4 linked regions of the Tamandua tetradactyla genome follow. The protein of the gene in region 4 binds, or shares a complex with, the protein of the main gene of each other region. Links are inferred from orthologs where the notes say so. Each region holds a gene or a part of one and is shown on either strand. Other genes may lie near its edges. The genes, in order: TUBGCP2, TUBGCP5, TUBG2 and TUBGCP3.

The links.
Region 1: the proteins of TUBGCP3 (region 4) and TUBGCP2 are in contact, whole or in part, in a cryo-EM structure (PDB 8Q62), measured with the Homo sapiens proteins. The link is inferred for Tamandua tetradactyla from reciprocal best matches to the Homo sapiens genes TUBGCP3 and TUBGCP2. Residues at the interface, in NP_006313.1 of Homo sapiens: Glu272, Asn273, Cys274, Ser286, Leu287, Asp289, Thr290, Val292, Arg293, Glu296, Trp299, Ser361, Thr363, Leu364, Arg365, Leu368, Val369, Tyr372, Lys375, Ile376, Lys379, Ala382, Ala383, Asp386, His387, Ala402, Tyr403, Lys405, Thr406, Gly407; in NP_006650.1 of Homo sapiens: Gln172, His173, Pro175, Ile176, Phe177, Pro178, Trp180, Arg184, Ala186, Leu187, Ile188, Gly189, Phe191, Leu222, Tyr223, Val226, Val228, Asp229, Gly230, Arg231, Glu278, Ser281, Phe283, Gln287, His290, Ala291, Ala294, Arg297, Val300, Lys301.
Region 2: TUBGCP3 (region 4) and TUBGCP5 share a complex: the UniProt entries of both Homo sapiens proteins name them as parts of the gamma-tubulin ring complex. The link is inferred for Tamandua tetradactyla from reciprocal best matches to the Homo sapiens genes TUBGCP3 and TUBGCP5.
Region 3: TUBGCP3 (region 4) and TUBG2 share a complex: the UniProt entries of both Homo sapiens proteins name them as parts of the gamma-tubulin ring complex. The link is inferred for Tamandua tetradactyla from reciprocal best matches to the Homo sapiens genes TUBGCP3 and TUBG2.

The regions. Positions count from the first base shown.
Region 1 is NC_135339.1:95,751,031-95,759,029, forward strand, and holds the start of TUBGCP2 (gamma-tubulin complex component 2), read right to left. Parts: upstream 3,018-7,999; 5' UTR 2,926-3,017; intron 2,405-2,925; exon of another isoform or gene 2,380-2,404; intron 1-2,379. Other genes in the region: ZNF511 (zinc finger protein 511), read left to right, coding at 3,053-3,205, 3,357-3,430, 3,841-4,042, 4,321-4,445, 5,468-5,620, 6,361-6,424. UniProt on the Homo sapiens protein: Component of the gamma-tubulin ring complex (gTuRC) which mediates microtubule nucleation.
Region 2 is NC_135338.1:74,105,853-74,112,986, forward strand, and holds the start of TUBGCP5 (gamma-tubulin complex component 5), read left to right. Parts: upstream 1-4,128; 5' UTR 4,129-4,208; coding exon 4,209-4,354; intron 4,355-7,134. UniProt on the Homo sapiens protein: Component of the gamma-tubulin ring complex (gTuRC) which mediates microtubule nucleation.
Region 3 is NC_135332.1:24,574,753-24,582,534, forward strand, and holds the start of TUBG2 (tubulin gamma-2 chain), read right to left. Parts: upstream 3,007-7,782; 5' UTR 2,795-3,006; coding exon 2,746-2,794; intron 2,469-2,745; coding exon 2,356-2,468; intron 2,187-2,355; coding exon 2,019-2,186; intron 1,709-2,018; coding exon 1,640-1,708; intron 1,364-1,639; coding exon 1,254-1,363; intron 891-1,253; coding exon 764-890; intron 153-763; coding exon 66-152; intron 1-65. UniProt on the Homo sapiens protein: Tubulin is the major constituent of microtubules, protein filaments consisting of alpha- and beta-tubulin heterodimers. Gamma-tubulin is a key component of the gamma-tubulin ring complex (gTuRC) which mediates microtubule nucleation.
Region 4 is NC_135330.1:182,786,840-182,794,237, reverse strand, and holds the start of TUBGCP3 (gamma-tubulin complex component 3), read left to right. Parts: upstream 1-4,382; 5' UTR 4,383-4,707; coding exon 4,708-4,783; intron 4,784-7,398. UniProt on the Homo sapiens protein: Component of the gamma-tubulin ring complex (gTuRC) which mediates microtubule nucleation.

The sequences.
Region 1 (7,999 bases), on a different chromosome or scaffold from region 4:
TGACACCTTGCTCGCCATGTGCCCTTCCAGCCAAGAGAGAAACTGTGAATGTGTTCACCATGTGCCTTTCCACATGAGAGAGAAACCCTGAACTTCATCAGCCTTCTTGAACCAAGGTATCTTCTCCTGGATGCCTTCGATTGGCCATTTCTATAGACTTGTTTTAATTGGGACATTTTCTCAGCCTTAGAACTGTAAACTAGCAACTTATTAAATTTCCCATTTTAAAAACCATTCTGATTCTGGTATATTGCATTCCGGCAGCGAGCAAACTAGAGATGAAAAACGAAGACAGCGTCCATAACAGAATCTTTTTTAGGCCTAAAATTGACTGGGGGGAGATTTGGCACAAAACTTTTGGTCCTAATTAAAAATTTTTTTTAACTTTTTTATTGTATAGTATAACATATATACAAAGCAAAGAAATAAAAAAGCAATGGTTTTCAAAGCACTCTTCAATAATTGGTTACAGGACAGATTCCAGAGTTTGTCATGGGCTACCATAACGTCCTCTCAGATTTTTCCTTCTAGCTGCTCCAGAATGCAGGAGGGTAGAGGGCTTAAATACTTTATCACAATCAACTTTTTTCCCACTTCTTTTTTGTGAACAATAACATATATACAAAAAAGCTATAAATTTCAAAGCACAGGACCACAATTAGTAGAACATATGTCAGAGCTTGACATGGGTTACAATTTCATAATTTTAGGTTTTTACTTCTAGCTGCTCTAAGATACTGGAGACTAGTACAATTTAATGATTCAGCATTTATATTCATGTGTTAATTGGTAAGTCCCATCTTCTCTGTATAATTCCACCATCACCTTTGATCTTTCTGTCCCTCTCCTTGTGGTGTTTGGGCTATGGACAATTCTAAATTTTTGATATTGGAAGGGTCTGTCACTAATATGGGGTAGGGAGATGGAACTATCTGATGTTCTGGAGAGGCTGGGCCCTCTAGGTTTCAGGACCTATCTGGTCCAAGGGCCCATCTGGAGGTTGTTGGTTCCTGGAAAGTTACTATAGTGCCTGGAACTCTTGTGGAATCTTATATATTGCCCTAGGTGTTCTTTAGGATTGGCTGGAATGGCCCTGGTTGGGGGTTGGCAGGTTATGACAGGTAGCAAGGTCTACCTGAAGCTTGCATAACAGCAACCTCCTGAGTAGTCTGTTGGCTCTATTTGAACTCTCGCTGCCACTGATCTTAGTTAAATTTCTTTCCCCACTTTGGTCAGGATGGAATTGTTGATCCCACAGTGCCAAGGCTGGACTCATCCCTGGGAGTCCTCTCCCATGCCTCCAGGGAGACTTTCACCTCTGGATATCATGTTCCATGTAGGGGGGGAGGGCAATGATCTCACTTGCAGAGTTGGGCTTAGAGAGAGGCCACATCTGAGCAACACCAGAGGTCCTCCAGGGGTGACTCTTAGGCATACCTATAGGTAGGCTAAACTTCTCCACTACCTACCTAAACTTCATGAGAGTCAGCCTCATGATCAAGGGCTTGGCCTATTGACTTGGGTGTCCCTAAAGTTTGACACAGTATCAGGGGATTCCCTGATGGTTAGGTTAATAGTTCCATATATTTTCTCCCATCCCTCAGAGGACTTTGCCAATACTTTTCTTTTTCACATTTAACATCCCCTCATCTTTATTCTATAGTTTTCACATGTGCTACATCTATGTGCATTGTAAACCCTACAATTCAACGTTATAATTTTTACTTTAAACAGTTTAATACATCTTAAAGAAATTTTTAAAAAATGTAGTTTGTATTTACCTGCAAATTTAACACTTCCCTTTACTCTATCCTATACCTCTGCTCTTCCATTGATTTCATTTTCATTCAGCCTAAAGAACTTCCAGTGCCACTTCTCATTGTGCAGGTCTACTGATAACAAATTCTTTTACCTGAAAATTGCTTCATATCATCTTTTTTTTCCCCTCAGTTCTTGTTCCACTGACTCCCGGCCTGCCTGGTTAATTACCATGGTTTTATACACACACATAATATTTCCCATAGACTTACACTGTTTTTTGAGGTGCCAATACTTTTTGATACTTAATATACTCTAGGGTGTTTCCAGGCATTACAATAATCTATACAGAATCAAAGAATCTCTTTCTTATTCTGTGCTTCCTGCGTTTCAATTGTTCAAATGAGCTATACAGATAGGTCCTAATTAAATTTTAATTAATAAATCTTATGCCATTTTTATTAGTTATATTTTTGTGTTAATTTCTTGAAGAAATAACACCCCCTTTTCCTCCCTATGACATTTATAAGCTCTGCTCAAGGATGAGACATGTTTGGGGGTGGGGAGCTCAAGTCCCATTCAGCAGCCCCTTCCCTCCCCGTCCGGTCTGCGCCCCCGCACTTCTCTTAGGCATCAGGTATCGCCATCTTAACAGGTAACTGCCGAACCAGTCAACACCTCTCTCCTGCTCCGCGGCACGCTGCGGGCAGGCGGGGACCACACGGCTCTCTCACCCGCGCACCCGAGCACCGGCACAGCGACCGGCCCCTCACGGCGCCGAGGGGGCGGCGGGGACTGAAAGGCCGAGATGCAGGTTCCCAGGGGGCTTCAGACCAAGGCAACGGGAACGCACTTAAGGGCTTTAAGCAAAGGATGGCGGCCCCAAACGCGAGCTTTCCAAAGACCACCGGCTCCAGTCCGGTTACTGGTCTGCAGGAGACGAGACTGCGGCGGAGGCCCGCGCAGGGGTCGGCCACGGGGGCGCGCGGCCCTCGGGAGGGAACCTGCGCGGTGGGCGCTGACGGGCGGCCCGAGGTCTGGGGGCCCTCCGAGGACCTCGCTTTGGGGCCTGGGTCGGGGGCGGTAGGGGGGCGCCTCGCGTCATGCGGCCGCGGAGGAAGCCAGCCTGGTCCCTGCGCCAGCGCCCGCGAAGGACCCGGGACTCACCACAGAGCCGGCACCGCAGCCGCCGCAGCCCGCGCGAACGCCGGAAGGGGCGAAACGTCACGTCCGGCCCCGCCCCGCCCGGGTCCCGTACGGTGGCCGGCAGGGGCGGGCGGCGGCGCCCTGGGCGATGCAGCTGCCTCCCGCGCTCCGCGCTCGCCTGGCCGGGGGCCCCGTGGCGGCCGAGCCGCTGCCCGTCGTGAGGGACCCCGCGGCGGCGACGGCGCCCTTCCGCTTCGCGGCGCGCCTGGTGCGCTTCCCGCGGGAGCACGAGTTCTTCGAGGTGCGCAGTAGAGGGTGGGACGGAGGGAGCGTGAGTGTGTGTGCGTACTCGCGCGTGGGGCTGTTGGGGTGGGGCGGGGCTTACGGGTGGGCGGGGCCTGGGCGGCGGGGGCGGAGCGCCGGCCCTGACCACGGGCGCGTGTCTCCTGCAGGACGGGGACGTGCAGCGGCACCTGTACCTCCAGGACGTGCTTACACAGGTGGCCGAGGAGCCCGAGAGGTGCAGGTGAGCGGTCCCAGCGCCCCACGCCCTCCTGCCCTGCTCCAGGTGCTGGCCCTGACCCCGCACGCACCCCTCATCCCTATTCTCGACCCCTCTGAGGCCCCGAGGCCCTGCTGGCACGAGCAGGACAGTCCCAGTCCAGGCTACCCCTGCCAGCCCCTGACCCGGCCGGGCACTGCCACCCTTACCTTTTAACCCTCCTGGCACCAGCCATGCCAGCTGCCCTGATCTCTCCCAGCTTTGCCTTGACCGCTTCTCTGCCGTTCAGTTAGCTTATGTGACATTTATTCATAGAATTAGGATTTGGGATTGTGAAAGGAACAGTGGGAGAAAACTTGTCTACAGACAGCCTAGTTCCCGTTCTTGGCAGGGTGGAGTTAGGCATCCCTGCGAAGCCTGTTTTCCTCGCTCAGGGTGCCTGAGTTCACCTGCCAGGTGGCAGGCTGCTGCCAGGTGTTTGAAACCTTGAAGGACTATGAGCACCACTACCACACGCGGCACAGACACGCCTGCTCCCTCTGCAAACGGGCATTCCCCTCTGCACACCTGCTGGACACCCACGTCCTGGAGTGGCACGATGCGCTTTTCCAGATCCTGTCTGAGAGGCAGGACATGGTGAGTGGCCCCCAGCACCCACTGAGAGGTCACCTCCGGCCCGCCCAAGGGTGGGTGCTAGGGCTGCATTGGTGGCAGACAGTCCTGGGTGAGGCTGCTGGGTCTGAGTCCCCTGGAGGTCAGCGTGCCCCTCCCAGCCTCCAGGACATTGGGGCAAGACCAGAGGGACCCCTTCCTGCCCTTGGTGCCCATGCCGCGTGTCCCTCTAGAGCTGGGCGCTCTGGGTGCGCGGAGGCACCTGCGGCGTGGTGATGGCGGGTGGCCCTTTCCTGTTTCAGTACCAGTGCCTGGTGGAAGGCTGCACGGAGAAGTTCAGGACCAGCTCGGCCCGGAAGGACCACATGGTGCGGCTCCACCTGTACCCTGCGGACTTCCGGTTCGACACGCCAAGGACAAGCAGAGGGTGTGTGGCGCTCTGGGCGAGTGTGCTGCTATGGCCGTCCTTCGGTCACCTTCAGTGGGTTCTCGCTAAGTGTCCGTGTGTCATTTAGCCAGATCCTTGGCAGGGCTGTTTTACGTGCAGCCCTGCTCCTGAAAGGGAGGGCGGGCAGGTGGGCAGCAGGCTGTCCAGGCTCCACTTTGGGAGGTGGGAGAGGAGAAGAGCATTGGGCATGGATTGGGGTTCCCATTGTGGGAGCTGGTCCCCCAGAAATTGGTCATTGGTTGGCAGACGTCCACACTACAGAGATCTAGCCTCTGAGCCCGTTCCTCTCGCCTGGGGCCTTCCTGTGTGTCCCATCCAGAGTGTGGGGTCAGGCTTGTTTACAGTTGACGCCCTCCTGTGAAATTGGGGCAGAGCTTCCAGGAATATCTACCAGCTTTGTGTTATGGTCCTTCTAGCCTGTTTTTCAAGTGAACCTTGATGATAACCAAAATTTGCATTGATTCGAGTTTTTTCAGAGTACTCTATTTTCTCTAAATGGGACCTTGCTGTTGAAGACAGAATAGCTGTGGGAACTATTGCAGTGTGGGAGGCTCTGTAAGGCTTTGTGCTACAGTGACTCCTTTCTCTGGGGTGACTTTAAAGAAAAAATCTCTACATTGCCTTACGGAGGAGCTTGTGGGTGGTATTGGGGGCACTCCAAATACTTTATAGCCTCCCGTTATTTTTAGTAAATTTCTCACTAGTTGTCATGAGCAGATGCTTGACTTGATACGTATTTATCTCATCACCCCTAAAAATACAGTTTTTAAGAAACAGAGTGGCTGTCATACTTGAGTTTATACAATAGTTGTGTTTACTGTGTCATGTTCACTTTTGGCCTCTAACGGTTCTCTTTTCCTGCTGACCTGAGATGTTCCCTAGAAGATTAGACTGTTTCCCTCTGTGAGCAAACACTTTCGCGAGGAGTCGTGCTCCTGGCAAGGCAGTTGGGGGCTGGGGGCATAGCGCAGGGCACCACCCTCACGGCGTCTCCTCCGCAGCCGGGCCCCACCTGGGCCACGCATCCCCCTGACGGCCGGAGCCCTGGGCGGCAGTGGCGAGCAGTCGGAAGGGGACGCCATGGAAGTCTCTGCAGACGAGCAGGTGGCCATGCCCCCGGGGGCCCCTGTGGAGACGCGGACGCACAGCCGCAGGTCAGTGGCAGGCAGCTTCAGGGCTCCACGTGGGGAGTCGGGGTTTGGCCCTGAGCTGGGGCATTCACCGGCCGACTCTCCAGGTGAGGGTGTTGCTTCGCTGGAGTTGAAAGCTTCAGTATTCCCATTTCCTGAATAATTTAATTTTTTATTTTTGTGTCGTCTGTTTTTGGAACCCCTTGAAGCCCAGGAATGCAAAGCGTGTCTACCTTTTCATCATTGCCCAAACTGAAGTACAAAAAGGGCAGTACCTAATCGGTCAATTCTAGCTGGTGAGGCTACCTGCCTAGTATTAACCATGCTTTTCTTGGGCTAAAATTGCTTTAATTTCTATTTTGGGGGGAAATATGGAAAAATCACCAGAGATTCTAAACTGCCAGGAGAGGGATTGTGTGTCCCTCAGCTGCCTTCTGCAGTGCCTGGACGTCAGCCTGTGAGTCCTATTGCCGTGGGCAGTGTGTCTGAGTGCTGTGGGCAGCGTGTCTGAACCCCAGCTCCGGCCGGCTGGCTCTGCACAGTGGGCAACCTCGGCCCCGGGGGGTCCCCCCACCAGAAGTGGGTGTGAGGCGGGCCGGGAAGCACTGCCCAGGGCTTGGGTAGCAGAAAGCTGGAGATAAGGGAGCCGGCACCCACTGTCCCAGTGCAAGAGGGTGGTCAGCACTGGGGAGAAAAGCTCGGGACCAGGGCCAGGGGCTGTTGGCCGGCAGAGAAGCCACTTCACGCCCTTCTCTCCGCTCCAGGGTACCTTCTACCATATGTTTTGGTCAAGGCGCATCACGAGGATTTAAAAGCTCCAAGAGATGAGACCAACACCTGTGATGGATTCAGAGAGAGGCGAGCGCAACCGAGGCCTGAGCAGGGGTGCGTCCACCAGGAGTGGGCGGCTTCTCGCGTCCCCCGACAGCTCTGGTGCGGGACGTGGGCCTTGGCCGCCCTCCATGTCCCGGTCATTTGGTGCAGGTGTCAGTGTCCGTCACGCAGACTGGAACGCCAGCCTGGCACGCCCGCTTTCCATCCCTGCTGGAGGCAACGGGAGCCCATGCACTGCCCCTGGCCTGGGCGGCAGAAGAACTGTGTTTTCAGATAAATGTAAGATAAATGATTTCCACCGGTGGTCTCTGGTTCCGTTTCTGTATTTTTTAACTAAACAGGGACGCAGCCGTTATTACCCATGCCTGTTTCCCTTTCTGTGTCGGGTTTCATCAAGGGCACATAGCCTCAGGTCTCTCGGGGGCGGCTGGCCGGGTACCATGCACACTCCGCTTGCGGCCCTGAAGCTCGTGGCTTCGGAGGAGGTGCTCTGTCTGCAGTCCCGTCCGCTGCGCAGTGGCTGTTCGCAGGGGCCTAGGCACTGGGCATGCAACAGGGAGCGTAGCCTCCTGGGGGAGGCAGTGGCAGGGGAGGAATCAGTGGGTAGGGACTGGGCGGGGGTGGTGGTGCAGGGAGGATGTTTGAACCGATCTTAAGGGCAGGAAGGGGACAGGGCAAAGGAGCGGGAGGTTCACAAGTACCTGTCCCAATCCAGGGCCCAGGCAGGCACAGTGAATCCTCATCTCACGTCTCTCCATGGACACGTGGGCAGAGGAGTGCAGAGCCTGCAGCAGAAGAGCCAGTGGGGAAGTTGGGGCAGGCAGGTGGAGCAGGGGGTGCTGAGGCAGCGTGACACTGGAGAACACCCTGCATCAGCCCTGTTTTCATCAAGTCAAGAGGTCTGAGGACCAGACCTGCAAAAGTGGGGACCCTCCAGGGTGTACCCCTTCCAGAGGCCCCGTCCCCGCCAGGCACCGAGCCGGGGGCATGTCAGCTGGCTAGTCCAGCCCCAAGGGTCCCACCCCCTCCCCATCCCACCTGCACAGCCCTCTCGCTCTCTCTCTCTCTTTCCCTCTCTCTCTCTCTCTCGGGGCTCAGGGTTTAGCCTGAGGCAGTGGGGTGTCCTCTGGCTCTGGATACCACAGCTGCAGCCCCAGCCCCTCCTGAGCCAGGCCCAGAGCTCGGGGTCCCTGGGGCAGTGGGCAGTGGAGCGGATGGCCATCTGGGTCTGGGGAGCACTGTGCCAGCAGCTCAAGGTGCTGAAGACTAAAGGTCCGTCAGCAGACGCTCAAGCAAAAGAAACTAACATGAGAAGTGCAGGTCTTGCCTGGTGACAGAAGGCTGGACGCACATGCTACTGTGTGGAAGGTGGCCTGGATTGGCAGAGGGCCGCCAGGCAGCTGGTCCTGGGGCAGACTGGAAAGGGCCGATTTGTGGGGCCTGCACTCCTTCCAGCTCACCCCGATGGCCAGGCCCGCTGGTCCTGACCTCTGTCCCTCCTGCATCCCTCCTGGAGGCTGAGGGATACAACTCTGAGCCCATGTGCACATCGGCACGTGCTGCTAAGTT
Region 2 (7,134 bases), on a different chromosome or scaffold from region 4:
CAGCAATACACTTTGGGCTACCAAGGATGTGTAGCCCATGGTATCTGGAGAGTGTGCCCTTGGCAGCACAAGAGATGAGTAAAGGTTACTCACTCCTTTGCCTGAAAAACAACTCTTGTTAAGCAACCAAGGTGGTATGCTTAGTTCTCCCCAAGGTGGTGGCCTTCCTTCCTGTTTGACAACGGGCCATCCCCAGGTCTATCCCAATCACAACTCCATAGGGCTGCCCCAAGTAATGGTCACCAGACTAGATGCAGTGCCCATGGAGCACTAGCCCAACACTTAGTAAAAGTGGACTCAAGCACTAACTAATTATGGTGGTGTTGTTGCCACCCTACAGGCAGAAGCCTCAGAGACAATCTTCTAAATGCAGGCTGAATGCAATGTCATGTTATGCCAGGTGTGACGGTTAATTTCATGTGTCCACTTGGTTAGGACAGGATGTCCAGCAAGCTCTGGTCTGATAGTTACAGTGAAGGTATTTCAAAGATGAAATATGGCTGATTGAATCTACAATCAACAAAAGCGATAACCTCAACAATGTGGGGAATCTCCTAATCTGATAATTTAGCAGTCTTAAAAGCCTGAACTGAGGACTTCAGAAGCAGAGAAAGCCACAGGAGGAGACTAAGGACATCATTATGTGATGGAGGACTGCCATCATCAGAATATTACCCACTTCTGGGAAGAGGCAAGCTCTGCTGATAACTTGATGTTGGACTGCTATCCTCTAAAATCATAAGGTAATAAATTTTTGTTGTTTAAGTCAGACTAGTGGGTGGTATTTGTTGTAGCAGCCCTGGCAAACAAAAAGACCAGGGTATAGCCTATTAAAAATTCTTGTCTAGAAGTTGAATGTACTTTAGGTAGGGAGAGGTGTCAACATCTGGCCAACACAACACAATCCCACACAAGCCAAAATGCAAGCACTCCAGCAACTGGCAATTCCATCCCAGCAGCCTTTGTCATATCAGAGAACCAGTTGGTTACCCAAGAGCGGTCCATTAAAGCTGATGAGGTTTTCTCAGTCATGGCTGACCCATCCTGTTATAACACTGGTGGTTCTGATTTCCCACTCTTCACCCCATTGGTGATAGAAGGATTCCTGCCCTAGGGTAATGGAAATGGTCAAACACAGAACACCCAACATTAGCCAGATGAACTCAATAGCACTTCATTAGTCATACATATTTGCAGCTTTGAGGAGAAGGATCTTGTGCCATGTAAGGTCTCACCAGGATTTCACCTGAGAACAAAGTGAACAAGCAGAGGCCATGGGGGTCAGGCATTGTAGTAAAAAAAAGGAGGTACCCACAAGAGGATGTGTTGGTTTATTTGAATAAATAAATAAATAACCCCCCATGGGCTACCAGGAGACTGGAGCCTGCTATTCAAAGATAAGAGGTACTGTGCCTGGTCCTGGTGATAATGAGGTTGTTTTGGCAAGGGCACCCATGGAAGTACAACAGGAAGGTGAACTTTAGGCCATTCAAAGTCCTCCCAGTTATACATAACAAGCCACACATAACATAAGGCCTGTCACAGTTACGTTCATGTGTCAACTTGGTCAAGTGGTAGTATCTGTTTGTCTGGTTGGGCAATGTCTGTTGCGATGAGGACATTTCATAGAATTAAATCATGATCATGTCAGCTACATCCACAGCTGATTACATTTGTAATCAGCCAAAGAGGAGTGTCTTCTGCAATGAGTAATGCTTAATCTGATCACTGGAAGCCTTTTAAGGAGGATTCAGAAGAGACAGGCAGGCTCTTCCTGTCTCGGCTGGTGAGCCTCTCCTGTGGAGTTAGTCCAGACGCTCCATTGGAATTGTTGGCTTCACAGCCTGCCCTGCAGATTTTGGACTCTGCGTTTCCACGATGATGTGAGACACTTTTATAAATTTTATATTTGCGAGTATTTCCTGTTGATTCTGTTTCTCTAGAGAACCCTAAATAATACAAGACCTTAATTTTTGGCCTTGAACCAAAGTGCATGTGTGTGTTTATATATACCGATTTTTTGGTGATGTACAGACACCAATTATTGATTTGGGTGTCAATAAAAATGAGAGCTGTATGGACAGATTTGAGAGTTATAAGCATACAGATGAGAGTTGAAACTAGAATAAAGAGATTGCCCAGGGAAAGCGTATAAGTTCTCTTATACAGAATAATTTTCCTCCTCCTTAAGGTAATCTTGTGCAATGTTATTGGTGGTATATCACTATCTAATACTATAGAAATGCAATGCAACAAGCCACATGAAAACCCATAAAATTTCTAAAAGAAAAAATTTTTAAAGAGACATATGCAGTAAGTTTTTAAATGGTTTGCTACAAGCAATAGTTAACAGAAATAAAGGCAGTTTTTATTACAAATAACAAAGGCAGTTCTCCAACCTTGGCCAGATAGTTATAAATTCCTTCTTCAGCCATTTTCCGTTATAAGCAACTGAGAGCAGGAGGCATCTTTCAAAATGACCTTGGAGCAGTGAGGTGTCATCACTTGGCCTGTGTGACAGGAAAACTTAAAAGGTCATTATGTTCAATTTCTTCATTTTTCTATACGAAACTGAACCTTGGAGAAGGATATACAACTAACCAGAGTCATGGTACCTGAAAATAAGGGTATAAAGATATACTAAGGGGTGCATGGGTGGCTCAATGCTAGAATGCTCTCACCTGATACTCTTCTGCGTCTTCAAACCTACTGTTGTGTGTGCCTAGTATATTTTAAACATCATCTAGTGTCATTTATTTCTATAATGCCTGTTATTTTTCTATATATTCTTCCAAATTCTTCTTTATGCTCTCCTAGTTTCTTCTTAGTATCTTTTATCTCTTCATGCATATTCCCATTCATTTATTTGAGTTTTTTCAGGAAATTTGTTTGAACATCTTTGATTAGCTATTCCAGATTCTATATCTCCTCTTTCAGATTTATTCTTTTGACTGGGGCATTTCTTCTTGTATTTTAATGTGTCTGGTGATTTCTTTCTTTGCTGCTATCTAGTCAACTGATCTTTCTTTTTCTCTCATTATGAGTATGTTTTTAAATAGCTTTCAAGATACATATTTTCCCCCCATTTTAAAAACCATCTGTTCTCAGTTTCTGCTAGTGGTCCTCGTAGGCCCAAGCCCCTGCTCCCTGTCACACGGGAGTCCAGGGTTCTACTCTAGGCCCATGCTCCCCTTACCCTCCACCACCCAAAAAAATAAAAGATATTACTGAATTATGATCAAAATTATCAGAAGTTAAACCATCAACCAAAATTAGCCAGAGACCATTACATATCTCTTAATAGTAACAATTAACTCTTGGAGGACTTGCCAAGTGCCTGGCTCTAAATGCTGTATGCGCACTAACTCTATTAAATAGGAATAACCCTTCTCTGCCCCACCAGAACCCTCTTTTGAGAAAACTGAGGTTGAGGGAGAAGCGACTAGCCTGAGGCCACACCCCCATTAAATGGCAGGCGGAGGATTAAGACTCTGTGTTTTCCTTTCAACCTCGAAATTATACACTTCTCTTGGTCCTGCTGTACGCACTTCGGTGTTCTTGTCTCTTTTGACAACCAAGCGATATGTGAGGCGCTTTCCTGGGTCTACGGGGATTGCAGAGCAAGAGAAAATGTTAGTTACTCTTCTCCAAAAGTTGTTTCTTGTCTATATAAATATGCTACATTTTGTCTTAAACACGAAGGTTGTATGATATATATCTTTTAAGTTCGATGAGGAGAAAATCCTTCGGCAACAATACTGTGCCTTAGAGGTGTGAGAGAACCTCCCAGGAAGCGGCGTCGGCAGCGAGCTTTCTGGAGCTCAGCGTAGGAATGGAGCTTCATGCAGGTCACACAAACGGTCTGTACCTCAAATAATGCAGTATCTTCTTTATCTTTGTATTGTTTTGTTTCCTTGTCGGTTTTCTTCTCTGCAGTATCTTCTTTAACACACTCAACTTTACTAAGTGCAAGTGGGAGACACAACACCAACATCTCACAAAAACAATACCGGCAGCATTGTCCAGAAGACATGCGCACTGACGCCCTAGTCGTCACACGACCGAAGCGCGAACTCTTGCGATAGCAACCAAACGTCGCCGAGACCCAATGCCGCGGCTGAGCTAACTCTCGCGAGAGCAGTCGTAACTCACCGAGAACTTGCATTGCTGGTGTGCGAATGCGCGGGTAGTGAGGGATAGCAGGGGCAATGGCTCGAGCCGTTCCGCCGTGGAGCTGGCTGGACAGACAACAGGAGGTGGACGTGCTGGAGCTCGTCCGGCATATGACTGGTCTGCAGGATGAGGCGGACCCCAACTTCCAGCTCGCCCTGAGCTTCGTCTGGTCCAACTTCAGGTGTGGGATGCTCACGGGCGGGGACTCTGCGCTTGGGTCTTTGTGTCCTTTTTGCCCAGCGAGCCCAGAGGAGGAGGGGCGGGGTCGCGCAACCTAGCTGTGGGATCCTCGGGGAAACCCGCATAGGCCCTGCCCTTATTCGGTGCCTTAGGGTCTTCTGTGGCCCCGTCGCGAGACACACGCGTGCTTCTACAGTGAATTGTGAGTTGTTGAGTGCCCGCCTCCCGTCTTAGTATGTGCGCTTTTAGAGAGCAGGTTCGTACTCTGTCTCTACTGTAGCCATTGCGCTTTGTGCAGTACGAGTCTTAAGAGCAAAATAATGATCACATCCTATTTAGAGTTGTATTCTCTCTCACTCCTTCTTCCTGCCCGGGCCATTCCAGATCTCCCTTACCCTGCTCTCGGTGTTTTGCCAGAGCGCTTATCAAAACACATTGGATATATCAGTTGTTTACTCTTTGTCTCCACCTTCCCCCACACCCAGCTGGAATGTAAGTTGCTGGGGAGCAAGGATCTTGGTTCTTGGTCTGTTTTGTTCATAATTGTATCTCAGCACCTAGAACAGTTCTAGACCCGTAGTACACTAAGTCACCCAATACAACCTCTAATACAGCTTCTCATTTAATTATTTTTTAAATAGCTACGATTTAGATAATTAGGTTGCAGTCGAGCGCCTACTTTTCTTTAGGGAAAATATAAATTAGACAATACTGTTGTGATCGTTACTGTAATGGAATTCCTACTAAAAGTAAGTGTTAGTGTTAACATTCTGCCCATTTAATTTCATAGAAATCGCAAACAGTTTTTTTATCTGTAATCTTGATTATCACAATAAAGTGCCTACTTGATTTATAATAAGAATAGACGGCTTTCAGATCTGTACGTTTCTGAAATGATCAACACAGTTCTTAAATGTGATTTAGAAAAGTGACACTGTCTGCAATATCTCATGTAAGACAGAAAATTAAATGTGCTATCCCAAATGATTTTTATTAATATTTTTAAATGTCAGTAGATAGATGGATATCATTTTAGTTAGGAGAACTTTAAGTTACTATCTCCTTTTTTAGATTGAGAAACTAAGTTATGATAGGTAGGGTGATGTTCCCACACAACCAGATATTGGGGTAGATTTAGATGTATTATTCACAAGTGTAATTTCCTACTTTTAAGTACGGATTGCTGACTTTGATAACCAAAAAAATGGAAAATGAGAGTTGAATAAGCTATACTGTACTGTTGAGATGCTTTAGTCAGTCAGAAAAAGGAACAATTCATGTTTACATTTTTAAAATTTTGGTCATGTTCTAGGTCCTAAAAATCCAGAAATGGATAAGATAATAAAAACTTCAGTCTTTAAGGAAAACAGGGACAAAAGGGAACAATTACAATATAGTCTTGAACAGGTGTTTTTAACTTGAGAGTCTGAAAATGGAATTCAGGTGTATGTGAATTTGGATAAGAAAATATTACATAACCTCTAGCTAAAAAGTAGTAATTCCTTCAATTATGAATGAAGGTAACAAACCATAATAGTATTAGGCTGTTAGCCTACGATTGTCACCAGTAGAGGTCACAGATTACTTTTACATCATAATATAGTTGCTGCAGATATTTCTCAATATTGCTCACTGTTACTTCAATGGTAGTTATTGAACTTAGGCTAGATCTTGTTTATTATTACATTAATAAAGAAGTACTTTAGTTAATGTACATTTTAAAAATTTTTATTGACAAAACAAAACAACGTGCAGACACCAACATTCTTAACATACAAACATTCCATACATGGTGTACGGTCAGTGGCTCACAATATCATCACATAGTAGTATATTCATCACCATGATCATTTTTTAGAACTTTTGCATCACTCCAAAGAAAGAAATAGAAAAGCAAAAGCAAAAACCCTTACGTACCATACCTCTTATCCCTCCCTCTCATTGATCACTAGTATTTCCATCTCCCCAATGTATTTTAACCTTTGTTCCCCCCTTTTTTTTATACTCCTTACCACTCCCTTTCATTGATCACTGGTATTTCAATCTACTCAATTTATGTTAACATTTGTTCCCCCTATTATTTATTTATTTTTAATCTATATTTTTTACTCATCTGTCCATACCATACATAAAAAGAACATCAGACACAAGGTTTTCACAATCACATAGTCACATGGCAAAAGCTGTATCATTATACATTAATCTTCAAGAAACATGACTACTGGAACACAGCGCTGCAGTTTCAGGCACGTCTCTCTAGCCCTTCTAATATACCTTAAACTAAAAAGGGGATATCTGTTATACATTTTTTAAGTTGACAACTGTATTTCAATATAGTAGTTTTCTTTGTTTTTATTTTTTTTTTTTTATTTTTTTATTTTTTTTTTTTTTTAAAGGAAAGACAGAGAGAAGGAAGGAAGGATAGAAGGAAGGAAGGAAGGAAGAAAGGGAAACATTTTTAAACATTTTCTTGTTTTATTGTATTCTGTTTCTCCGTTTTTGTTACATGGGCTGGGGCCGGGAATCGAACCGAGGTCCTCCGGCATAGCAGGCAAGCACTTTGCCCGCTGAGCCACCGCGGCCCACCCCTTTGTTTTTATTTTATACGTTTAGAAGATTGTTCTGGGTAGGGGTCTTTTAGGTTTCACTGTGGTATAAAAAAGATTACAAACACCTGATATAGAATGTGCTATGTTGGCGACACAGGTTATTACGGGAGGACAAAGGAACTAAACGACTGAACTGGGGAGGTGAAGGATGTGCCTGTGTCCTAAGGAAGGG
Region 3 (7,782 bases), on a different chromosome or scaffold from region 4:
CCTTCCCCAGACAGCCCACCAGCAGGGAGGGCGCTGGTGCAGGGAGGTCCAGGGTGGGGCCACACCAGCTGGTTGATCTGGGAGAAGGACGGGTTCTGGATGTGCAGGCGGTCAGTGGCGATCCGGTTCAGAGCCGTGTTGTCCAGCACCACCTGCGGGGACAGAAGAGGGCCACAGTAACTTTTGAGGAAAAAGGGGACATAGAAAGTTGATATTAGCTTAGACCTAAACTCCAAAATCAGGAATTAGTAGTCTCTGGGGCACCCAAGACACTTTTCTAGTGTCCAGTGTAGTAAACAAATATTTTAGTTTCTCTCTCTGTGTCATGCATTTTACTTGGCCTGGAGGTACAATGGACAGAAAAACAGGCATGGTCTTTCCCCTCACCAGATCTTCAGTCTAGTGAAGGGAAACAGACATTAAATGTAAAACACAAATATTATAGCTACAATCTGAAATATGCTTCAAGGAATCTGACCTTGACTGGATGGTCAGAGATTTCCAGGAGAAAGTGACCCCTGAGCTGAGTATCCGAGCATGAGTAGGCATTAAGCAGGCATAGTGGGGGCAGCTGGGTGGGAGGTTTGCTCTGTTGAGAGTCTTGCTGCCTAAAGGGACTGTAAACAACTTGAGGGTTGGATATGATTTCAGAATTCAGCTCATAAGATTTTGTTCTCTGGAAAGGGGCATGGGCAGGGCAGAGTGTATGTGATCCCCTGGTTTGGAGAGGTTGACCAAAGCCCCAGCTCTGTTCTGTGCTCACCACACAGTCTGCGTTCTGGGTCAGCCTCTTGAGCGTGAGCAGGGAGTTGTAGGGCTGCACCACCACATCGCTCATCTCATCCTGGTTGGGAAACACTGAGTACGTCTGCACCAGCTTCTTGGGGTACCTGAGGGTAGGGGGAGGGGAGGGCGGCACAGTGAATTGGAGGCTCCCCATCACTGCCCATCTCTTTATTCTCTAGGGACAACAGGAGCCATTCCTCTACAAGCATCACCAAATTCTTGGATTGAGGAAGTAAGGGTAGAAATGTATCTTCAGAGCTCAGGAGCCAGAAAGGACAAGCCGCAAGCATTGAACCTGCCATCCCCTGAGTCATTGCTTCCAAGATGCTGCTTGGGTGGCCAGGCTCTGTCCTTATGACTCAAAAGAGGTAGTGGCATACCTTCCAGTTCAATAGAAGAGGTGACAAAAAGGAAGGACATCACCTAGGGAACCAGGGCTAATGCCCTCTCCCGAAACATGGGCTCACCTGTCATTCAGGCGCTCCAGGAGGTAAGAGCCCAGGCCTGAACCTGTCCCCCCGGCGATGGAGTGACATAGCACAAAACCCTGTATGGGGAGGGGTGGAGAAGCTTCAGGCTTGTCTCATTGCACAACATACCCATGTCTGGAGGCTTCCTGTGTGTCCATCCAGGTTCAGAGCCTTGAGCAGAGGCTGAATGACTCATGCCTAAGGGGCTGATGGCACTCAGATTGTGGCATGTGAGGACAAGCTTGTCCCTTATCTCTCAGTACTCTACATCTGATGCTCAATTGATAGGTTTCAAATTGCCTCATCACACCAACTGTTCAGGCCACCTCCTGACTTTTCCCCAGCACTCTCCAGGTTTTTCCTTCAGCAGGGGAGAGCCTCACCTCTAGGCTGTCACTTCCATCTGCTTCTCGGTCTATAATGTCAAAGATGTCTTCGTGGATTTTCTCACCCTGAGTAGAAATGTGTGGAGGAAGGATCACGGTGAGAAGGTTCTGGGGAGCATCTCTTTTCAACACCAAAAGCTCTACCCTGGGACATTGCTGCCACCCTCAAGCAGAGCCTCAGATGTGGTCCTCAAACTGCAGCTGCTACTTGGCAAATAATTTGCACACAATTTGCATAAACCTCTTCCCAGTTCTTCCTCTAGTCAGAGTATCCCCCTTTGTCTTTCATTTATTGTTACTCTGATCCGGTCAAATCCCCAGGCTGCTTAAACCTGCCTTGACCTGGGGTGTCTTCTGGGATGGCCTGTTTAGGCACCTGGGAGAATCCACTGGCCCAGTTGTTGCCTGCTCCTCCACCATGCTCCGACAGGTAGATGTTCTCTGGGTTGTAGAGCTTGGCGTAGGGGGAGTTGAGGATGGAGTGGATCACCCGGGGCTCCAGGTCCAGCAGCACAGCCCGCGGGATGTAGTGCTCATCATCTGCCTGAGCAGGGGAGTCCAGGCCGGGACCCAGTCAGCTGGGGCCTAACCAGTGCTCCCACAACCCAACCCTGGCTCCTGCCTGCCCCCCTCTCCTCAAGCCCTGGCCCCTCTGCCAGCCGGTTTCCAGATCCCAGGCCAGTGCCCTTCCCTTCCAAAATCGCTGGGGGCACCTGGTAGAAAAAGACGTCCTTGCGGTCAGTGCCTTCGGTGGCGAACTCCTCCACGATGCCCTCGGGGCTGATACCATGCTCCGCGCACAGCTGTTTCCAAAACTCGAATCCGACTGGGGGGAAGGGTGAAGATGCCTCGGTCTGCTAGAGCCGTAAGAACTAAGAAGCCCAGGGTGGGGGACAGAGACTGTCACACTTGGAGAGGGCGCTCAAGACGCCTGGGTCCGGGACCCCGCACAGCCTGGGGGCCGCTTTTGGTCTGGGGCTCCGTTCATCACGCGCATTAGGGTAGGGATGCATGGAAGGGAAAGGAGGACTGTAGGATGCCAAGCACTTGGGTGGAACCCGAAGGGGCAGAACCGGAGCTGAGGGGACCCTGCACTCGCTCACTCTGGTTGCCGCACTGGCCCAGTTGCAGGGTGATGATCTCCCGGGGCATCACTCTTCAGACGTGGGCGCTCAGCACCCCCGGGCAGGAGTCGTAGCAGAGACGAGTGCTTGACAGCGGGGTGCGCAGGACGTGGGAAGCACACTCTCCTGGTCTCTTGACGCGGGTGTTCGGTCTGCGCGTGTGCAGTAGGGGCCTCCCCTCGGCCGGCCTGCCGGGGAGCCAGACCTGAGCATCATTTTCTCCCACAGCAATTACAGCTGGAATTCGGCACAGGCGCAGACTGAGGCCACGCCCTTCCCCCTTGCCCCCTCCCGCTCCCCGCTCCGCGCCTGCGCATTGAGAGGCAGCGGGGGCGGGGGGGGCGGGGACCCGCAGGGTCGCGACCGGAATCTGGGGGAGGGGAGAGGCTGGGCCGCCGTCGCGTACTAGCCAGACGCTCCAGATGTGTGGAGCTAGCTGTAGGGGGGTAGATGTGCGGCTCTGCGGAATCTGCTAGGGAGAGGAGCTGGGTCCAAACAAACTCTCTTCTTTTAAATTTAATTTTACGAAAACTTGCAAACATACAAGTACGATATTGTATTTTTATGTTTAAAATGTTTTGTAATTGTATTTAATGCCACTGAATTACACACTTTAAAATTATTATTCTGGCAACTTTTATATTATGTATATCTTATTTTATATATGTATTTTAAAATTTTTATATAAATGATGACAGTGTAATATCCTTTTGCAACCTCCTTTTTTTTTACCCTATCACCATACATTGGGTTTTTGTGATTTAGCCATATTGACACTTGTAGATTTATTTCATTCCCTTTAATTGTTGTGTAGTATTTCGTTGGGTGAATAAAACCAGTTTATTCTATTTCCAAATAGAAGGGCTTAGATTGCTTCCATTTATTCCCTATTAGAGGAAGCACAGGACTTGTCCATTTATGAGCATGAGGGAAAATGCTGCTAGAAGGGGCTTGTGCAGTTTCAAATTTACTAGGTTTTGCATATTTTCTCCAAGATGGTCATATTAATTTACTCTCTTCCAGCAATAGAATTCCCATCTCTACACTTGGGCTATCAGATGTTAATTTTTCATAATTCTATGGATGCTGAATGAGATCTCATTGTTGTAATTTCCAGTTATTGTCACTAGTGAAGTTGCTGTTCTTTTCTTTTTTCTTTTAAACTTTTTAAAAAATACTTTCAAATTTAGAGTTACAAAAATAATACGAACTCCACACTGAGAACTTCAACATATCCCTATTCCCTCACATACCTAGACCTACTAGTTTTAACATTTTGTCACATTTGCCATATCATTCTGTCTACCTATCAATCTATCAATTCATCCATCTGTTTGCCTCTCTAACAATTCATTTTCTGAATACTTCAGTATAGGTTGTATACATCATGCTCCTAGAATACTTAATACAGTCAAAAACATTTCTTAAAAACAAGGATATTCCATTTTATGTGTCCACCTCAAGTACAATTATCAAGTCCAAGAAATTTAACATTGATGTAAAGTTTACAGTTTATATTCATGTTTTCATATGTCCCAATAATGTCCTTTTGAGCCTTCTCTCCTCCTCTATTAGATCCTGTCCAGGATCATGTATTGCTTTAATTGCTATTGTTTCATTTTTCTTTTGTTACTGGCTTTTCAGGATTCTTCCTCTGTGAAATGCTTGTTTGTATCTTTTGCCCATTTTTTCTCCTGGGTTGCTTCTCTTTTTCTTATTGATTTGTATGCATTTAAAGATGTTCTAGTAATCTGCCTCGGTTCTATGAGTTGCAAATATTGTCTCTTGGTTGATGGCTTGTCTTTTCACTTTGCATAGAATATCACGAGATTGTTATAGAGATTTAATGTGGGCAAAGTTATCTATCTTTTCCTTTATATTTTGCATGTTTTATTCCTTGTTAAAGAAACCTTTCCCTAACCCAGTATCATAAGTTATTCTTTTATGGTTTTTTTCCCCAAAAGCTTCATACTAGTTTTACTTGTTCCTTGTGGGTCTTCAGTTCGTCTGGAATTTATTTGGAGGCCTGCTGTGAGATAGCATTCTATTTTATCTTTTCCATAGGGATGTCCAATTGTCTCCAAACCAATTGTTAAAGAGCCCATGCAGTCTCCTGCACCCCAAGGAACATTCCAAATCCTCACCGATGTGTTCTGTCTGTCTGTCCCTGTCTGCTGGGCTTTCTTTGCAAGTTGTCTGCAGAGGCACTGGTAAAAGCACTCTTTCTCTCTCTCTTTCAAAAGAACTAGGCCGCCTTCCAGTCCCCACCCTCCTGGAATCCTCAGGCCCACTTCTGTCCCTTCCCCAGCTTTGGTTCAATTTCACTCCCCTCACCCCACCAGGGCCTTCTAGCCAGCTTCCTCCACCTCTCGCCTGTCAGAAAATCTTAGGCATCCCTCAGGGGGACCAGTAGACGTGACCTTTTGGGGAGGGTCTGCTACTTCCTTTGAAGTTTAAAGGTGGAGTCTAAGCAACTCTCTGAGCCTCAGAGACTCTTCCTCCAACTGGATCACTCCCTAAGATCTGGCTGTCTTCAGAGGCTTTGCCAAGACCTTTACAGAGCTCAGCGTCTGCCAAGGGGTGAAGAGGAAGGCTTCAGAGATGAGAGCAAACTTGCCAGGCCTCCCTGCCTTGTGAGTTTTCTAAGGCTCAGTTTGCTTCCTTTAAAATAATAACAAGCTATAAGTAGTTTATGAACTCTTGCAAAACATGAGTTAATTTTTATCTTTTCATGTGATTAATAACGATGCTTTCCACTTCCTGGTCCCCAGAATTGTGAAAAACTCCTTCAAATCCCAGTTTATAGGCAAGCAGGTTAGAACGTGTGAGTTTATCTGAGTTGGAAAAGTTGCTGTGTAATAAGTCATCTCTGATGAGCCGGAGGCTCTTCTCAGTCTGGTAGAAATAGCTTGGAAATGCAGATGCTTATGCACCTTAGAGAGCTGAATGTAAATCCTTCCAGTTCTTAGCAGACTATGGTTTTCCATTTCTGCTGAGAACTGACATCCATATCAGTTAAATGAGATAATACATGAGCACTTAGCATGGTGCCTGACTTATAGTAAGCACTCAACAAATATCAACTGCTGTCATTACCCCTGCGTGCAGCTGGAACTGAAGTACAACTTGGCTACAACTATAGATGAAAGATTTTATTCAAGATAAAAGTAAAGTTGATATTTACTTTAAATACATTAAAAATAAATAAAACGCAATGATTGGTCATATTCAGTTTCAGCTGTAACTTCTACTGAGGTTGAATGAAAGAACCACGTTCATTATCTCCTGGATTTCAAATCTAGGGTCTCAAGGTCATTACCCGTAGTTAAGTATTGAGTTTAATTTTCTTGGCTCCATGTTCTCTGACCCAGATTATGACAATGTAGTGGGATGTGGCGTTCCTTTGTCTGAGGCCTTGCTCTGCATCTGATAATAAATGTAGCATTTGTAAATAACTAAGAAGTTTGCTAAATGTCCAGAGTCTTGATTGGACACTCCATATTGAATAAAAAAAATTTTTTGATACATCTTCATTTCTGGCCTTTCCTGGATGCCTGCATGTACTGTCAAGAGCACAGGTATATTTTGGAGGTTAGAGGTAGAAGGGTGAGGTGGTGGACTGAGGGTGTATCTCAGGGCCTGGGAGAAAGAGCAGTGTGCATTTCATGGAAAAACAGGTAGTTAGAGTCAATTCTAGGCATGAGACTGGGATTCTGTGGCCCCATGGAGTTTAATTTTCAAAGTGAAGGCAAGGGAAAATTAAAACTGTGACGAGAAAGAGCTGAAGCTCTTCATGTAAGGGGAGTTTTGCTAAATTCACATTTTGACTATGAAATAGAATGAAACAGCTGACTTGTTCCGTATGGTTTTTCAAGGAATAGGAAGTAAACCAAAATAAGAAGTAAGCCTGTGTGTGGGCCATTTGTTAATTCTTGTATTGTGCGCCTGTAATGTGTGGGCACCCAGTTATAAGCTGGGGAAATTGAGATCATCTTGGGTTGTTGGGTGAAGGTAGAGCCATTTATTGAGACACAGGGAAATCAGGAGGAATGTGTTTGAACAAGTGGGGTTTTAGGGGACCTGGGGATGTCTAGATGGATTTAGGGGTCCCAGAGGTAACAGAGAGTGCACAGGCCTAGAGCTAAGGTGAGAGATCTGGGTGTACAGCCATCCTTGTCCAGGCAGTGGTTAAAGGCACACAATGAATAGGGTCACAAGAGAGAATGCACGGTGCAGGATGGTCCTAGATTGGAAGAGGACTCAGAATAGAATCTGGTAGAATTCAACAGTTAAGTGGTAGGAAGGAAGATTTCATGGCAAAGGAAAATGAAGGAGCAAGCAGAAAAGAGGGAGAAAAACTAGTGTGTACAGGTTTGGTTGTCTACCCTCTTAGTTTTGGACAGAGCCCATTTTGTTCTGCATCTTATCTTTTCTCCAAGTGGCTCATGGGTGATCCTGATTAGTCCAAGCCAATCAGAGTAATCATAATTTTCTTGCCAGGGACTAATTTAGGAAGGGACACATGATGGAATTCAGACCAATGACTTGTGAGGAAAAGACTTCTGGGGGCTCTGGTGAAAGATCTCCTCACTAATTAAGAATGAAGAGCCAACAGGAAAGGACATACTCTCTTCTTTAGCTGCATGTTGTTACATTTAGATATGGCACCTGGAACTGCTGCACTTTCAGCCATGCAGAGAGCATTTTGAGGACAAAACATCATGCTGTGGATGGTAGGACAGAAAGATGGGAGGCACCTAGATCCCGATGACTGCTGAGCCATCAAATTAATCAACCATGGTTTGATACCTGGACTTCTTGAAATAGGAGATATATTTTCCTTGTGGTTCAAGCTATTTGATTTGGATAATCAATTCAAATTTTATTTGTATCTGAATGCACAGACATAGAGAAGGGTATAGCAGAAGCCTAGGAAGGAGAATGTTCCAAGGGGGAATAGTTTGACATCAGAGGCTGCAGAAAGATGGAGTAATAAGGGATTGGAAAAAGGTGATT
Region 4 (7,398 bases):
CATCAAAAATTTAATTATGACCTGTAAGCTCTCTCTCCTGCTTCTCTTACCCAATCCCAGGCATCCATTCATCTGCTTTCTAAAATTTTATATAGTTAGAATCATACAGTTTGTACTCTCTTTTGTCTGGCTCCTTCCCCTCAACATAATCATATTTAAATCCATCCATACTGGTGTGTGTATTAATAGTTAATTTCTTTTTATTCTTGAGTATGTATACACTACAGTGTGTTATCACATTCATCTGTTGATAGACATTTGGGCTCTTTCCACTTTGGGGCTATAACAAATAAAGCTACTATAAAAATTCATGTACAAGTCTTTCTAGGGACATATGCTTTCTTTTTTCTTGGATAAATAGCTAGACATGGAATGTCTGTCTTGTGTTAAATATATGTTTAACTGTTTTCTAAAGTGGTTGTGCCTATTTATATTTACACTAGCATTGTAAGTATGTTCCATTTCCTTCATATCCTTGCCAGTACATGGTATGGTCAGATTTTTACTTTAGCCATATTCTAATTGATGTGTAGCAGCTTTTCATTCTGGGTTTTTGCTTTTTTGGCTGCAAAAAGATTTACTGTTCATATTTGGATCACAGCTTGTTAGAGGGCTGCAAGATGTCTCCTGGATGGAGGGAGGGGCTTAGGCAGAAGTCCAGATGCTAGGGGGAATGGAGAGCCCACAGGGCCCTCTGGGCTAGGGAGGATTCTATTTGTACTTCAGAGGAGCTTTAAAAAGGGATACTCCCTCGTTGGTTGGTTGGTCAGATGGTCGCCCATCTTCTTCATGAATTTTACCCCCTCATCTAGAAGTGACTCTCCAGGGAGCCAAGGAGATAGGGTCTGTGTGTACACAAGTCAGGGCATGCAGATCCATAGCAGCCAGTTTCAGGTTCTTCTGCATGGTCATAGAGGCTTCTGTGGCATACAAGGTGTCATGGTTAGGGACAGGTGTCAACTTGGCCAAGTTGTGGTACCTGTTCATCTGATTGGGCAAGCGCTGGCCTGTCTGTTGCAATGAGGACATTTCATAGGATTAGGTCATGATCACGTTAGCTACATCCACAGCTGATTCCATTTGTAATCAGCCAAAGGGGAGTGTCTTCTGCAGTTAGTGATGCTAAATGCAATCATGGGAAGCCTTTTAAGGAGGACTCAGAGGAGACAGGTTGCATTCCTGCTTTGGCTGGTGAGCCTCTCCTGTGGAGTTCATCCAGGCCATCCATTGGAGTCATCGGCTTCGCAGCCTGCCCTGTGGATTTTGGACTCTGCGTTCCTACGGTCACGTGAGATGCTTTCATAAATTTTATATTTGCAAGTGTTCCCTGTTGATTCTGTTTCTCTAGAGAACCCTAACTAATACACAAGGTTTTACCCCACTCGTCTTGGATGGCTTTTGCACATCCTGGAAGAGGCACAGCTGCTGCACTGGTTTTGTATCTTCGAGAGACATTTGGCACCTCGGCACTTCTCCTTCACCTATGTTCTAATTTGCTAACTGCTGGAATGCAATATACCAGAAACGGAATGTCTTTTAACGAGGGGAATTTAATAAGTTGCTAGTTTACAGTTCTAAGGCCAAGAAAATGTCCCAATCAACACAAGTATATAGAAATGTCCAATTTAAGGCATCCAGGGAAAGATACCTTGGTTCAAGAAGGCCGACAATGTTCAACATTTCTCTCTCAGCTGGAAGGGCACATGGCGAACATGGTGGCATCTGCTGGCTCTCATGTGGCTCTACCAAAAAGGACTCTCTCCAAAATGTTTCCTGTTTTAAAGGATTCCAGCAAGCAACTCCACCTTCAGTGGGTAGAGACACACCTTCATGGAAATCATCTAATCAAAAGTTACCACTCACAATTGGGTGGGTCACATCTTCATGGAAGCAATCAAAATGTTCCCACCCAGCAATTCTGAATGAGGATCAAAGGGCATGGCTTTTCTGAGGTCCACCACAGATTGAGACCGGCACAACCTACTTGTTCTTCAGGGCCACAGCTCTGCAGTTGAAACAGAAGTTCAGAGAATGGTAGGTATGGGAGACTGCCAGAGAAAATTGACCAGGTGGCTGATGAATGCCTCCACTTTGCAGGAATAATTTTGGTAGATGGGGGAGCTCATGCTAGGTTGAGAAAGAGAAACTAACTACAATAAATAGTGTTAGCTGGCTCCAGAAGCAGGGAATAGCCTAGAAGGTGGTGCTGGAGCTTGCAACTGGAGAGAAAGTTGGACTATGGTTGAAAGCTGATGGGGGAAGGGGGTTAGCACCCAGATCTGTTCTAACAACTGCTGAAGCAAGAGATAGTTCCATGAGACTGCTGTGGGTGCCGTGTTAGTGTGTGTGTGCGTGCACACATTTAAATTGTCTGGTCCTAAAGTGTGGGATTTGTTTCCCATGGCATGAAACTGCTGATGTTTCTATTTTGTTTTCTTTTTTAAAGAGAACTTTATTTTGAAATATTCCAAATGTACAGGAAAGTTGCAAAAGTCTGCCACTTTTAACTGGCAAAGCTATGGATTTTTACCTCTTGCACCATGTCAAGTCTGTTCTTCTACCAGGTAAGTTGACAGTTTTTGCATCCAACCTTTTACAGGAGTCCCAGGGTACTCTCCAATCAAGCTGTGGAGGGGGGATTTAGCAGCCCTGGCAAGAAGAACACAGACTTAGATTTTTCTAAGTCAATACGTGCTTCTTAATTGTCTTTTGTTGACTTACAGTATACTGATTTGGTTTGTTTTGACAATTTTGTCTAAATTTTTTCTTCCTTCACCCCATCATCTCTTGAAGTCCTATACACTTACAATTATTTTATCTTCCTAATGAACTGGCCCTTTCAGTATTATAACATGTCCTTTTTTATCTCTGTGTCCTAGTTTCCAATTGTGTGACTAGTCTGTAGACAAGTCCAAGTCTACATCATGTTTTATATCCACCACACTGTAGCATTTTACATATTTTTTCATTTTTTAGACTGGAAGACAGAAATACATTGAGGCAAAGTTCAGTAATAGATGAAGTTGTAAGGTCACAAGAGCTCAATATGTAGTATGTTGTGCTGTGTGCTCTCTAGTTTCCTTCCCTCTCACTGTGTCTTTTTACCCTATTATGTGGATATCATGCCTGCTCTTGGGCCCAGGCAAGTATAGCTGTAGGGCTGGCAAGAAGTGCTATGGTCATATGCAACCGCTGAAACTGCAGTTTTGCTTTTGAAGTCCTGACCTTCTAAATGCCTCACTCAGAGACTGTTTTGGTCTTATGGCCCTAATGGTTTTCCTATTCCTAGCATTCAAGTGGAATAAGAGCACAGGTATTAACTGTCTAGTACAGCAAAAGACTTTCTTCAGTGTCTTGGCCCTCAACAGGCACCTATTATGGTATCGTCTGCCATCCCCTAGTTCAAGGAGGAAACTTTTCCATAGTCCTAGGTAGAGGAGTTTTGAGTTTTTCTGTGACCGTGATGAGGAGAGTGAGTAGAGGGTTGATTTGCTTTCTTTCTCACTTACTTCACTTGATTGTTTGAAGGTGCCTTGTTTATCCATGTTATAGCTCAGGTCATCCTGAGATACAAATTCTTTTGCTCTTAATTCTAAATTCCCTGGAAAGAAACGTTGGTTGGTCCAGTTTGGGACAAGTACCCAGCCCTGGTCTAATCAACTGTAAAAAGCTGCCAGGATCTCTTGCCTTGGGCCAGCTAGCTGATATGTAGATTGGATCATTAGTTTCATTTAGTTCCAGAATTGGGAAGTTTTCAGTGCCTTTGTCTCCCTTGTGGAGCCTGTGTAAGCTTGAATGATGTAACTGCCGGCTTATTTATCTTTTTCTCCTCAGGCCTTTTCCTCTTCTCTCACTTTTCTTCTGGATCTTACTCTTCGGATGATGTCATAGTTAAACGGGTATTGAGGTAGTGGAGTCGGTGAAGGTTTGGGGCTGGGAAGTCAGTATAACTAAAACCATGCCCTGTAAATAGTCCCATGCTCTGCTTATAAGAGCCCGCTTTGGTCACAGCAGATGTGAAATGCTAAACCAAACGTTAAAAACCATAGAACTCTCGTACTTTAAACAGGCAAGAATGACTCAAACCAAGGTAACTAAAAAAAGCCCAAAATTATGGACTATAAAGGCCCTACTGACCACCAAGCACTCTCATAGAAAGTCATTCACAATCATGAACCTTTGAGCAACGTTCTAAAAAAGTCCAGGAAACGTTCTGAGAAGCATAAAGCAGTACTACTGATACAAAAGCTTAGTAAGGTGGTCAATTTGCTAGCCGGAACTTTTCTGGCCCGCTCGATGGTGGTCGTGGGAAATTTTGCGGAGACGGGAGAGGGGGATCTTTTAAGTCGTTGCACGCGCAAGGCCTGGAGCCGTGGGGGAAGACGAAAGGCATTGTGGGGGCTGGCTAGCAGTTTCGGCGGGTTCTGTTAAAATGGCGCCCTTTACACCGGCGGTCTCTATATTTTAGCCTGTCAGGGGAGGACGCCGGAGCCCAAGCGCGAGGCGCGGAGAGGGGCTAGCGGCGCTGAATGTCAGGAGGGTTCCTGTGTGCAGCAGCGGCGGGGTCAACGCGGAGTCCCCGGAGCGTGCTCCACCTTGGGGAGGGTGGGGTGCAGCTTGTGGGTGAGTGACAGGGGCAGTCCACCTGGGTCCGGCCCGCTTGCGTCCCAACCTCCGTTTGTCTGCGTTTTCAGTCCCGAGGCGAGGATGGCGACCCCGGATCAGAAGTCGCCGAATGTTCTGCTGCAGAATCTGTGCTGCCGAATTCTGGGCAAAAGCGAAGGTAACCGCGCCCGGGCCGCAGGAGCGAGCGCCGCAGGGGTGGGACCGGGCGGCTTGGGACTCGGAGATCTGTCCCGGAGGCCGCTCTCTTCTTGTCCGGGCTGTGAGACGTTCCAGCAGGCTCAGGAGGAGGACAGGATTCGGCGTCAGGGCAGGGGCTGGGATCCCTCAGGCCAGCGGTAGCGGAACCTTGAAGGGTTGCCGAAGGCCTGCTAGATGCTTCGGTCACTGCTGAGGCGGCCCGGAGCCGCGCGGTTGGCCAGCGACAGGAGAGAGTACTGGGGTGTAAGGGATCTGGGGGCCTCGAGAGCAGGCTGAGTCCCGGTCTCAATAGGCCTTGATCTGTAAGATGCAAGAGTGAATTACGGAGGAATACTGTCGGGTTGCGAATTTATCCGCCTTTTCTAATGTCACATAGCGGGGTGGATGCTTTGCAGTTTTTTTTTTTTTTTTTTTTTTTTTTACTGAGTGGAGTTAAAAGAAGGGGTAGAACTGGTTCCCAGTTACACGTGCCTGATTGCTGCAAGAGTGACGTTCGCATCCTTTGGAACAGAACACCACGGAGCAGCGTCGGGGGAAGGTTAAGGCTAGCCACAGGTGTTACCTTTGTCGTTAGGAAAGTGTAACGGATTTGAGTATAATGTAAAGGAGGTATTTGTGACTGTTACCTGTCAGGTTTTTCTACTATAAAGGGTTGAGGGTTGGGTTTGATGTAAAACTGTCCCAGGAAAGTTCGCATAGCGAATATTGTTACTAAGAAGCAAAACCAAAAACCAGTCCTTTACAATATGTAAAGCCACTCTTGGGCCGTGGCACTTAAAATAAGTGGTGTGGTATGTAACCTCTTTGGGTGTGTGTGTGGGGGGGTGTGTATGTATGTATATATACTTTTTTTTTTAAATTTTTTTGGGCGTGTAGGGTGGTGATGCACAGAAGGGAATTTTCCAAATTGAACCACCTGGTTTATTTATTCCTTAAGCACTGGATTGTAGAAATGAAAATGTACAAGTTTTGAGGGAAGACTTTTAAAACGTTTCATGTTAACAAAGTTGTGAGACTGCATTTTGACCTTTCTTTCATGACTCGTGACCATTAGTGTGTGAAGTTCATTAGTTATGTGATAACTTTAGGAGCAAAAGATACTTTTTTTTTTTTTTTTGCCACTATAGTAAATGACTGCCTTCATGGTTCTTGCTACATTTTGCAAGTGTTTCACTTTATCCCTTTATTCATCCTAGAAATATTTTGAGCATCCCAGGCATTGTGGTGGTGGTGTGATACAGAAATGAACAGAATAGACAATTGTCTTTCCTCTTATAGAGTGCACATTATAGTAGAGGAAACAGGTGATAAAATATAAATAATTAATGTTAATTAGTGGTAAGTGTTACAATGAAAAATAATGTAGGTAAAGGAATAGAGAAGAGGTCAGGGAAAGCCTCTGAAGAGTTACTTAAACAGAGATCAGAATGGAGTGAGGGAGGGCCTTGTGAATACATAGGGAATATTCCAGATAGAGGGAAAAGGTTCAGTGGCCTTGAGGTATATTGGTGTACTGTCTTCTGGTTTTTTCTCTCTTTTGTATGTGTATCCCTAGCACTCTCAGTTACCTTTCTAATTTCATGTTCATAGTTATAGGAGAATCCAGATCACTAAGATTGTTAATTATGGCTAATCCACTTTAACGCCTTTGTTTTATCATAGCAGTGGTTCTTAAATTTTTCCTTCAGAGATAAACCATGCATTCATATATTTCCATTACCATAACTGGATTTTGAGAATTTTTGTTCACTTGAATTGTTTGTTATTTTTAATTTTTAATTTTTTGGTATGCTGTATGGCAGGGTTAAATTTCATTATTTTTCCATGTGAGTATCCTGTTATTGCAACACCATTTGTTGAATTTTTGTTTGTTTGTTTTTGCTTGTTTGTTTTTTTAGGGGGGATGTGCATGGATGGGGAACCAGACCCAGGTCTCCCACATGGCAGGCAAGAATCCTACCACTGAATTAACCTTGCACCCCTGAATTGTTTATTTTTGTATATTTTTAAATTCAGCTGTCATCTTTTACCTGAATGTATGTATAACCTTTTTGAGATACAGAGGACAACCATCTTTCATTTAAAAGTTCTTGGGCCTACATCTTGGTGTGCTTTGGAGCCTTAACCTTTGGAATTGAGATAGTGCAATTCCAGTTGAGCTTCTTGCCTTGGTTTTTCACTTCCACTAGTCTTTTCTATACTATAGTCACAGGGCCCTTCCTAGAAAACAAATCTAATGACGTTTGTTGAGGAAACGTATTTTTTTCTCTCTCTATAATCCTCAGATTGAAGGCCAAATTATTTGTCTTGTTTAAAGTTTAAAACTGTGGATGCTTTATTGAGTTTTGATTTTAATGCTGTGTGTATACCTTGAGATAGTGTATTTAAGTCTCAAAACAGTTCTGGGAGGTCTGTGTAGATATTATTAACCTTATTTAATAGACTAGAAAACTAAGACTTTGCTCACTGTCATCTGGTTTATGAATTGCAGAGCTAAGATTGGATCCACTCTCTGCGTCTACAGTTTATTTTCGAGTAATTCATTCTTGCCCTTCAGTGTAGAATTTTTTAAAT